Saccharomyces cerevisiae S288C: one gene and its partners. Changing the gene in region 3 together with the main gene of any one other region gives a genetic interaction. Each region holds a gene or a part of one and is shown on either strand. Other genes may lie near its edges. The genes, in order: CIN4, ADE3 and BAS1.

Evidence for each region.
Region 1: mutations in BAS1 (region 3) and CIN4 together harm fitness more than expected from each alone (negative genetic interaction), as found in Saccharomyces cerevisiae (2 studies listed by BioGRID).
Region 2: mutations in BAS1 (region 3) and ADE3 impair growth when combined (synthetic growth defect), as found in Saccharomyces cerevisiae (one study listed by BioGRID).

Annotation. Positions count from the first base shown.
Region 1 is NC_001145.3:542,996-546,230, reverse strand, and holds CIN4 (Arf family GTPase CIN4), read right to left. Parts: upstream 1,077-3,235; coding exon 501-1,076; downstream 1-500. Other genes in the region: serine/threonine protein kinase RIM11, read right to left, coding at 1-106; DNA cross-link repair protein PSO2, read left to right, coding at 1,268-3,235. UniProt on the Saccharomyces cerevisiae protein: Implicated in yeast microtubule function.
Region 2 is NC_001139.9:904,067-907,825, reverse strand, and holds the start of ADE3 (trifunctional formate-tetrahydrofolate ligase/methenyltetrahydrofolate cyclohydrolase/methylenetetrahydrofolate dehydrogenase ADE3), read right to left. Parts: upstream 1,893-3,759; coding exon 1-1,892. Other genes in the region: phosphatase YCH1, read right to left, coding at 2,143-2,589; PCT1 (choline-phosphate cytidylyltransferase), read left to right, coding at 3,078-3,759. UniProt on the Saccharomyces cerevisiae protein: Cytoplasmic isozyme of C-1-tetrahydrofolate synthase.
Region 3 is NC_001143.9:633,862-637,620, reverse strand, and holds the start of BAS1 (Bas1p), read right to left. Parts: upstream 1,771-3,759; coding exon 1-1,770. Other genes in the region: ubiquitin-specific protease UBP11, read left to right, coding at 2,442-3,759. UniProt on the Saccharomyces cerevisiae protein: Activates HIS4 transcription only in combination with PHO2/BAS2. BAS1 is also involved in the regulation of the purine biosynthesis pathway.

The DNA of each region.
Region 1 (3,235 bases), on a different chromosome or scaffold from region 3:
GCACCGGATCATTCGGGTCTATCGTAGGTGGAGGATGGGCGTAGTAAACCTGTTTTGACACTATGTTATTACTGAGATTCGGAGAATTATTGCTTTGAATATTCATCCTGCGCGAGTTCTAGCGTTGCGTGATTAGTGTTGCCGTGTTGTAATGTAATGCTATGTCAAGATCTTGCCCAGTAATGTGTGAATCAGACGTCGGTGGTTGGCTATTCTGGAAAAAAAGGTGTTAAAATGCAATGCGCCAGAAAGAAAAGGAAATAAGACAATGGCAACGACCGATTGGAAATAATCTGCTGGTCTTCCTACCACTCCTTCTTGTGTAAGATCTTCAATGGACCCGTGCTTTGTAACCCGCAAGCCTTACAGAACCCCTTGGTAGTATTATTATCCGGAGTGAGCAGAAGCCACGAATGCGCACAGTCGGCGGGTAATGAACTATCACGCTATAAATACTGACATTATTTAAAGTTTTTATATGGTGCTCACATCTTAGACGATTATTGGGTAAAATGGCAGGATTCCACCAGACGGTCACGCAGGTTATCAATACCTTCTCCGGTAACGCCACTACATTTGACGAGCTCTATTCGGATGTCCGGCTTGAACAGACACTTCAACTCGCTCTCTACCAGTAAACACCTTCGATGAAGCTCGGACTTGTCCTCCACTAAATCAATCTTGTTCAACACAACGATAACAGCACACTCGTATCCTATTCGATTTTCGTCTCTATTGATTAATTCTTTTAGTTCTTGCAAGGTTTCGTCAAACCGCATTGAAAGGCTCACATCTATACACCATATCATCGCTTGTGTCTTATCAAAATAGTTATCCCAAAATGGCCTTAATGTGCGTTGCCCCCCAATGTCCCATAGAGATATTGTCACATCTTTTATCATCAGACTATGTATTTGAAAACCCACAGTAGGCATTATACCATCGTTATTTTGCTCATCCTTGGGCAATAGTTTGTTTACTATCGTTGACTTCCCCGAATTGTCTAGTCCTAGAATCAGACAGCGAATTTCTTTGTCCCTGAGCTTCTGTTTCCTGATAATACTTAGTAGTCCCATGTATTCTTCTACACCTTAAGCTTCCCTCTTATTATCTTTATAAATTAGTGCGATGGCTTTTTAGATTTTGTCATGGAAACGGACTGAAAAAGTACTAGTAAAATAGCAATATAAACATAATCAAATACCTGCGTCAAAACTCATGTTAAGCAGCATACGCACTAGTGACTAATTTGGGTGGTCGGTTGATTATGTCAAGGAAATCTATAGTGCAAATAAGAAGATCTGAAGTAAAGCGGAAACGAAGTAGCACCGCTAGCAGTACAAGTGAGGGGAAAACTCTTCATAAGAACACACATACATCCTCTAAAAGGCAGAGAACTTTGACAGAATTCAACATCCCAACTTCATCGAACTTACCTGTCCGTTCCAGTTCATATTCATTCTCAAGGTTCAGTTGTTCAACATCCAATAAGAATACAGAGCCAGTAATTATTAACGATGACGATCACAATAGCATTTGCCTTGAAGACACTGCAAAGGTCGAAATCACCATAGACACAGACGAGGAAGAACTAGTTAGCTTGCATGATAACGAAGTCAGCGCAATAGAAAATAGGACCGAAGATCGAATAGTAACGGAATTGGAGGAGCAAGTAAATGTTAAAGTCTCTACAGAAGTTATTCAATGTCCTATTTGTCTAGAAAACCTTTCTCATTTAGAATTGTACGAAAGAGAGACACACTGTGATACTTGCATAGGCAGTGACCCGAGCAATATGGGAACACCTAAAAAGAATATCAGGAGCTTTATTTCTAATCCATCATCTCCTGCAAAAACGAAGAGGGATATAGCTACGTCAAAAAAACCAACAAGAGTAAAACTTGTTTTACCAAGTTTCAAGATAATTAAGTTCAATAATGGCCACGAAATAGTTGTGGATGGTTTCAATTATAAGGCCAGCGAGACTATCTCTCAGTACTTTCTTTCTCATTTTCATTCTGATCACTATATTGGACTCAAAAAATCTTGGAACAATCCTGATGAGAATCCGATCAAGAAAACACTTTACTGTTCTAAGATCACTGCAATATTAGTAAATTTAAAATTCAAAATTCCAATGGATGAAATCCAAATTTTACCCATGAATAAACGCTTTTGGATAACAGATACCATTTCAGTAGTTACGTTGGACGCTAACCATTGTCCCGGTGCAATAATAATGCTTTTCCAGGAGTTTCTGGCAAATTCGTATGATAAGCCTATAAGACAAATTCTTCACACGGGGGATTTTCGAAGCAACGCCAAAATGATTGAGACAATTCAGAAGTGGTTGGCCGAGACAGCGAATGAAACTATTGACCAAGTTTATTTAGATACAACATATATGACTATGGGATACAACTTTCCTTCACAACATTCTGTGTGCGAGACTGTGGCTGATTTTACATTACGGCTTATAAAACATGGTAAAAACAAAACATTTGGAGATTCACAAAGGAACCTTTTTCACTTTCAGAGAAAGAAAACATTGACAACTCATCGTTACAGGGTCCTATTTCTTGTGGGAACATATACTATTGGAAAAGAGAAGCTAGCCATCAAGATATGTGAATTTTTGAAAACAAAATTATTTGTTATGCCGAATTCCGTTAAATTTTCAATGATGCTAACAGTTTTACAAAACAACGAAAATCAAAATGACATGTGGGACGAAAGCTTACTCACCAGCAATTTACATGAATCATCCGTACATTTGGTACCTATAAGAGTGTTGAAAAGTCAAGAAACCATAGAAGCTTACTTGAAAAGTTTAAAAGAATTGGAAACAGACTATGTGAAAGACATTGAAGATGTTGTCGGGTTTATACCTACCGGGTGGAGTCACAATTTTGGTTTAAAATATCAAAAGAAAAACGATGATGATGAGAATGAAATGAGTGGCAATACAGAATATTGCTTAGAACTAATGAAGAATGATCGAGATAATGATGATGAGAATGGGTTTGAAATCTCGAGTATATTGAGGCAATACAAAAAGTACAACAAATTTCAAGTTTTTAACGTACCATATTCTGAACACAGTAGTTTTAACGATTTAGTGAAATTTGGTTGTAAATTGAAGTGTTCTGAAGTCATTCCCACTGTGAATCTAAACAATTTATGGAAAGTGAGGTATATGACGAATTGGTTTCAATGTTGGGAAAACGTTAGGAAA
Region 2 (3,759 bases), on a different chromosome or scaffold from region 3:
GTTTGCATCAAGTTGGGCTTGATAGCGTCTCTTAATAAAGCGGTTAAGGCACCGGTACAACCCACATCTTCAACAGTGACTGGAGACCTGTTTACGTCAGCAGCAACAACGACTCTTCCAATACGTTCCTTCATGTCCCTCAAGTCCTTTGAAAGAGCAAGAATAGCCATCAATTCAGAAGCAACGGTGATATCGAATCCAGTAACTCTTGTGTGGTTCTTCTCGGTAGGGGCTTGACCAATGGTGATTTGTCTTAACATTCTGTCGTTGATATCGACCACCCTCTTGATAGTAATAGTGTCCGGGTCAATGTTCAATCTGGCGAATTTGTTGATCTCTTCGGGTGTTAGATCATCGGGGTTGGTCTTTTGAATACCCAGTCTGTTCAATCTTCTTTGCATGGAGGGAGTAAACTTTCTCTTTCCGTTCTTTCTAGGCACTAGTCTGTTGTAGAAGGTAGCGTCGTTCTTTTGAGTGGTCTCATGGAACATTCTAGTGTCAATAGCGGCAGCAAGTAGGTTGTTAGCCGCACCAATGGCGTGAATGTCACCAGTCAAATGTAAGTTGAATTCGTCCATTGGGATGACTTGGGAATAACCACCACCCGCAGCACCACCTTTGACACCTAAAGTGGGTCCTAGGGAGGGTTGTCTGACGTTCGCAATGGCTGGCTTGCCCAAGTGAGCCGTTAGTGCCTGGACAAGACCCATTGTTGTAGTGGATTTACCCTCTCCCAGTGGTGTTGGTGTGATACCAGACACCAAGATGTACTTACCATTTTGGCGCGTCTGCAGCCTTTCGATGACTTTAGGAGAAATTTTGGCCTTGTAATGTCCGTACAGCTCCAACTCATGAGAGTAAATACCCAATTCTTGAGCAAGCTGGTTGATAAGCTTTGGCTGTTGTGCTCTGGAGATGTCTATATCGGAAGGAACAGGTGTTAGCAACTTCAATGGCAAGGGAGGAATCTGCAAAGGCTTCGAGGATTCTTCCATTTGGCGTTTGGCAGCAATCAAGGTATTTTGCATTAACATAGCCACCGTCATGGGGCCCACACCACCGGGCACTGGAGTGATTAGATGGACGTATTTGATTGCTTCATTGAACTCAACGTCACCAACACATTTGAAACCGGACTTTTTGGAAGGATCAGCAACGTAGTTGGTGCCAACATCAATTACCACGGTTTTCTTATCACTGGAAGTGCCGTCTCTTGGTTTGAACCATTCACCCTTCACAAATTCTGGTTGGCCGATGGCAACGACTACGATGTCCGCGTCGTGTAAGTATGATGCGATATCACGGGTTTTAGAATGAGTGATGGTGACGGTGGAGTTTAGAGATTTTAACAATTCTGCAACAGGAGAGCCAACAATGTCAGATCTTCCGATCACAACGGACCGGGAACCTTCAATCGTGACGTTGGCCTTGTGAAGCAGCTCAATGATCCCCTTGGGCGTGCAGGGCAAAAAGAATGGGTGTCCGTTCTTCTTATTCAATTCGCCAATGTTGGTGGGCCCGAACCCGTCCACGTCCTTTTCTGCCAACACTCTCGAGGTGATTCTATCCTCGTCCAAATGAGCGGGTAATGGTAGTTGCACGATAATACCGTGTGTATGTGGGTCCTCATTCAGCTGGTCCACGTAACGCAGAACTTCAAATTCAGTAGCGGATTCATCTAAATGAATGAAATTAGCAACAATGCCGGCCTCTTCAGCTGCCTTACGCTTCATGCGTACATATGTGGCTGAGTCTGGTCTGTTGCCTACTTGAATGATGGCAAGGTTAGGTGCAAACCCAGGCACGTGACCTTGAATGCTTTTGATTTCATTAGCAATATTGCTTCTAAACTGCTGAGCGCATGCTTTGCCGTCCAACACTTGACCAGCCATGATTTCTTATTTGACTTGTAAAGTTGTGTTCGTCTCGTTACCTGGTCTCACAACTTCAATTGAATGGTATCGCTATCGTTGTATTGTAAACGAGTCTATATATAATAAAAAGTTACGGGTTATGGAGAGCGCGTATATAATGAATGAATGACTGACCATAGTACGAAAGCGATAAAGAGGAAAAAAGAACAAAATTGTCACTGGGAGGAGTCATGGCAAATATATGATCACGTGCGATTGTGTAAACCTGTCAACGCCACAGATCGGGTAGGTAACCCGCCGTAACGCTCTCGTCGTCACCGTATACGGATTGCCAGCGCGAGAACCCCCCACGCAACACCCATAGACGACAGCGAGAAAGTTCCGCCGTGTCAAGCGACCGAAGCAGCAGCATCGCTGCAGACGGTCCGCGCTGCTGCGATAACATACAATGGAAAATCACGTTCAGCGCTCCGCGGCCGTCCGCTTGCTTTTCCAACAATCTGTGCTTTAGCTCACGTAAGTACTCCGGATCCTGCTTAAGGCGCGAATAGGCGTAGTGCCATCCGTCCTTGATATGGCCCCCCATATAATCTGAGCCTCGCACATCCACTACCTGGAAAGGCTCCCTCAGCGTAGTAGTGTGTCCTTCTTGCATCCAACGATGCAATTCAGTCGGATCCAGGTATTTTACGTTTGTTATTGAGTACGAGTCCATATTTTTTTTGCAATTGACTTCTCTTTTGCTTCTATCTGGCTGCACAGCTATCTATACTGTGCTGAAAACTGTATGTGCGGAGGAAGTAGAAAGGCTAGCGACAGCCAGAAAGAAAAAAATGGAAAAAAGGAAAGGGAAGAACCCAATAAGCGAAATGTGCATTACCCGTATTTGTCGTTTGCATGTAGGAAGAAAAAAATGAGTCGAAGACCTACCGTTATATAGTCATTCTTTTTCTTACGTTTTTACGCTTCGTTTCTTAACGCTTTTTAATAAGTATGAAATATATATCTGGTATTGGTTTTAGTACAGTTACCATTGTTTGTTTCTCCTGTTTCTTTTATTTTTTCTGCCGTTCTTGTATTTTTTATACCCATTCCCCTTTCTTGCATACGCCAGTCACTTTTCTTTATTGTATTGTTTAACTTTCAAATTTCACTCTTGCTATTCTCTCTTGGTAGTACAAAGCACAGCAGACACAAAGAAAAATGGCAAACCCAACAACAGGGAAGTCCTCGATTAGGGCTAAGCTTTCTAACTCATCGCTATCAAACCTATTTAAAAAAAATAAAAATAAAAGACAGCGTGAGGAAACGGAAGAGCAGGACAATGAGGATAAGGATGAGAGTAAGAACCAGGATGAAAATAAGGACACACAGCTCACTCCCCGCAAGCGTCGCCGGTTGACGAAGGAGTTTGAAGAGAAGGAGGCTCGTTACACCAACGAGTTGCCCAAGGAACTGCGCAAGTATCGTCCTAAAGGTTTCAGATTCAATTTGCCTCCAACGGATAGACCCATCAGGATATATGCAGATGGTGTTTTTGATCTTTTCCATCTTGGCCACATGAAGCAACTGGAACAGTGTAAGAAGGCTTTCCCCAATGTAACACTGATAGTTGGTGTGCCTAGCGACAAAATCACTCACAAACTAAAAGGTTTGACTGTGCTGACCGATAAGCAGCGTTGTGAAACTTTAACGCACTGCAGATGGGTTGACGAAGTCGTGCCCAACGCTCCCTGGTGTGTCACCCCAGAATTTCTACTAGAACACAAGATTGACTACGTGGCACATGACGATATTCCTTACGTTAGCGCCGACAGCGACGATATCTACAAGCCAATAAAGGAGATGGGAAAATTCTTGACTACCCAAAGAACCAATGGTGTCT
Region 3 (3,759 bases):
CATACTATTAGCACTAACGTTTCCTTGAATGATTTCATTATTTGTAGCGGTAGAATTAGTTGGGATCAATGTATTTGCTTGAGGATAAAATACAGACGGGCTGTTTGTTTCTCTATTGCTTTGTGAACCAAGTTCATTTGCATTGTCAGCGGGATTGTGTGAAGTTGCTTCCAAGCTGAATGCGTTATAGTTGGGTGTTCTTGATAAAAAATCGCTATCCATGTTGTCCAGAGAAGTCCTATATTCTGGGTTAAAAGTGTCACTATTTGAATTTAACCCTGGAAGACCATTTCCCAGTTGTCTACCCATATGTGGGAAACTATCCATTAATAGAGGGTTTCCATTTATATTTCCTATATTTGACAATCCAGTATTGCTGCTGACAGGATGGTCTGTGGATGTAACATAATGATTGTGAATATGTTGATGTATCGAAATTTTTAAAGAGTACTTCTTAGCTTGGTCAACCAATTCTTTTACTAATTTTGTGCTGTCAATAGTTCCGTTAGAAATTGACAAACCTTGACCATCTTTTAATGTAAATTTCCATTGTGTGCTAGAGGAATTTGGTTCTCTAGTTTTCACAGTAGAATAAGCATGCTTCGGAGAATCTGAAATACTATTACTATTCATCATATGCTCATCGAGAGATGCTGGATTGAATGCTGGGGGAAGGCTTGTCTGTGGGCTATCTGAGATTCCTCCAGGACTTTGCTTGTTCATTTGAGAAAGACCTTCAATTGGTAAAGATACTTTGCTCCTAATGCTACCACTGGTATGAGTCTGACCGACTTGCGTCATCCTGATTGGTGGAGGTGCAGATATCTCTTTTAAGGGAGGTAATGCTTGTGGCTTGCTGTCATTTAAAATGGGTCCATCATTATCCTTTAATCTTGGTAGTTTGCTCGATTCGTTCTCTTTAACATTCAATATATCCTGCTTTATCAATGAAGGGTTGTTCTGTTGAGATAGCTGCAACTGTTCTTCTTTATTCGGTGTAGAATCTGAGCGTATATCAGAATCGGCGATTGGATGTTGTCGGAGTTTTCCGTCTGTCATGTCTATGTTCTTGTTTTCTTTTATAGCCTTTGTTATTACTTCTGATGCTTGTCCTCGCACAACCATAGTAATAATTTTCCGCCATCTGTTCCTGCACGTTAAACTTGGTCTGAATTCCATTTCCGACGAAATCTTTCTCCATTTCGTGCCGTATGCCTTCACTTTACTTATCAGATTTAAATCTTCCTCGAGCGTCCATTCTCTTAATCTACCTTTACTTCCAGGTCCCAACACTTCAATGTACCTTTTCGCACATTGATCCTCTGTTCTTCCAGGGATATCCATGGAGATACTCAGCCAGTGAGGCCCATGTTCTTCATAAGCTTTCAAGAGCTGCTCATCCTCTTCTTGTGTCCATTTACCTTTCTTCAAGTTTGGGTCCAGAGATCCTGTCCAACGCTTTCTTACATCCTTTGAAGTTCTTACGGTGTGTTTGAATCGTGTAGCTAAAACATCCCAAGCAATACATTTAGAAAGATGGTTGGATTGTTGAATTGTTTTTACGTCTTCAAGTCCATTCTCATAGCCTAACTCCTTTGCGGATTCGTTTACTAGCGATCGTAGCATATTATCGTCGTCCTTTGACCATGAATTTCTTCCATTTTTCCTGTGTGTCTGATAGCCAAGTGATTCAGTCACTTCAAGTAAATCGAAGCCGGATCCTCTTTTTGGCTTACTTTTTCGTATATCTTTGGTACTTATATTCGACATTCTCGATAAAATGTATTCTGCGATAAAAAAAAAAGAGCAAAAACGCTACAACAAAAGTTTTAAACAAAACTAATTTTGTTTACCCCACTAGAGATCAACAATTGTTGCAGAGAACGATTCAAATCAGCAAACCGGATTATCAGAAAGCAAATAATTAAACACAAAAAACGTACACTAGTCCTTTATAGTAAACTAATAAGAAAAATTTCTTATTATATAAATATAGCTGGTTAATTTCGATTGCTTTAAAGTTTCCTGGGGCTTTATTCTGTGACTGGACCCTATTTCTTCTAAAGGTCTTAACATAATTACTCATTCTCATTTTTTATTTTTTTCTTCGTCTGGCTCATCGCATTGTTCGGACCAAAAAAAAAAAAAAAAAGAAAAAAAGAAAAAAAAAAATAGTTTCTCCGTTGCACATCGTCAAAGGTGATTTCCCCACATCTATTATAAAGTTTTTCCGGAGTGCTTAAAAAAGGGATTGACATTTCTTCGAGAATTAGTTGAGAAACCCTTTTAGATTGTGCGCTGAGTAATCATTAGGTTGATTATAAGCTCTGAAAGGTTACTGCTACTGCTAGTAGTCTTTCAGGATCTTCAGTAAACTAAATAACCGTGGCATTGATCTTACTTTCCGTTTTCTTTTCGCTAAATCGGAAGTCATAAAGACAATGTTATTAAACCCAGATCAAATTCTAAACCTAGTTCGAAAAGTATATGAAGTAGATATTAAACAGTTTTATTCGCAATTACGGCTAAAGAACTTAAGAGGATTGTTAGACCATGCTGCTCATCTGTTTAATGTTTACCTGAGGGATTTAGAAATCAATCAGGAAATGGAAGCTTTGACAGCATTTATTATTGGTTGTTATTATCTGTACCTTATTATTCCACAATCGTTACAATTCCAAACAAGAAATAATCTCTACAGCAGTTACGCAAAGCTAAAAAACGACTATCAAGACGAACACGTGATGGGTTATGTGTTAAAAGTGGTAAGAGATGAAAGTACTGTTATTGTTGACCGGTATTTAGCGGAGTCAAACGGAATTTGCAGGACCATAAAAAGAAAAAGAGCCTACTCCTTACCGCTACGGCCTTTACCTGTTCATATGGCCTCTTTGTCAATACATAACAAGTTTGATGGCTCACTACATGAAATACCGAATGAGCTAACAAAACCAACAAATGATAATTCGAAAGAGGACATAGTCAGGGAAAGTAATCAGATAGCATCAAGTAATAAATTGGAAGCTGGTTCTGAAGTGGCGTACTACACAAGCAAAGAAGCATTATCAAAACCCTCGTATTTAAAACTCAGTACTGGAAAGGATGCATTATTCAAAACGCTGTCTAGTCCAGCAACTGCTCCCCCCGTGCACTCCTTGGAGGTTTCGTCACAAATCAGAGATTCTAGCCAAGATTCTTCATCCTCTTTATCCAAGGTGGAAAAGCCAAAGGAGGAAGAAGGAAAGATCGAGGCCATAGAATCTTCGGCCCCGAAAGCTTACAATCTACCAGTAATTGAAGATTCTAATGATCTGTTATCAGAGTTATCTATTACTGGCCTGCAAAATCCATGCAATACATGCTATATTAACAGTATAATTCAATGTCTGTTTGGCACTACCTTATTTCGGGATTTGTTTTTAACCAAGAAATATAGGCTATTCCTCAATACTAACAAATATCCGAAAGAAGTCCAACTTTCCCGCTCGATTTACGTTTTGTTCAAAAAAATGTATTTGAATGGAGGAAGAGCGATTATACCAAATAGATTCTTAAAAATGTGCAAGAAGTTAAGGCCAGATTTGAACATCCCAGATGATCAACAGGATACACAGGAATTTCTACTAATAGTTTTAGCACGAATACATGAAGAGCTCTCGAACGAAAATGTTGTCAAGTATTATCCAGATCTAGTGTCATATGATGCGAATGCTTTACAAGTTAACCCATCCAAATACGAGAAATGGTACGAGAGAAATG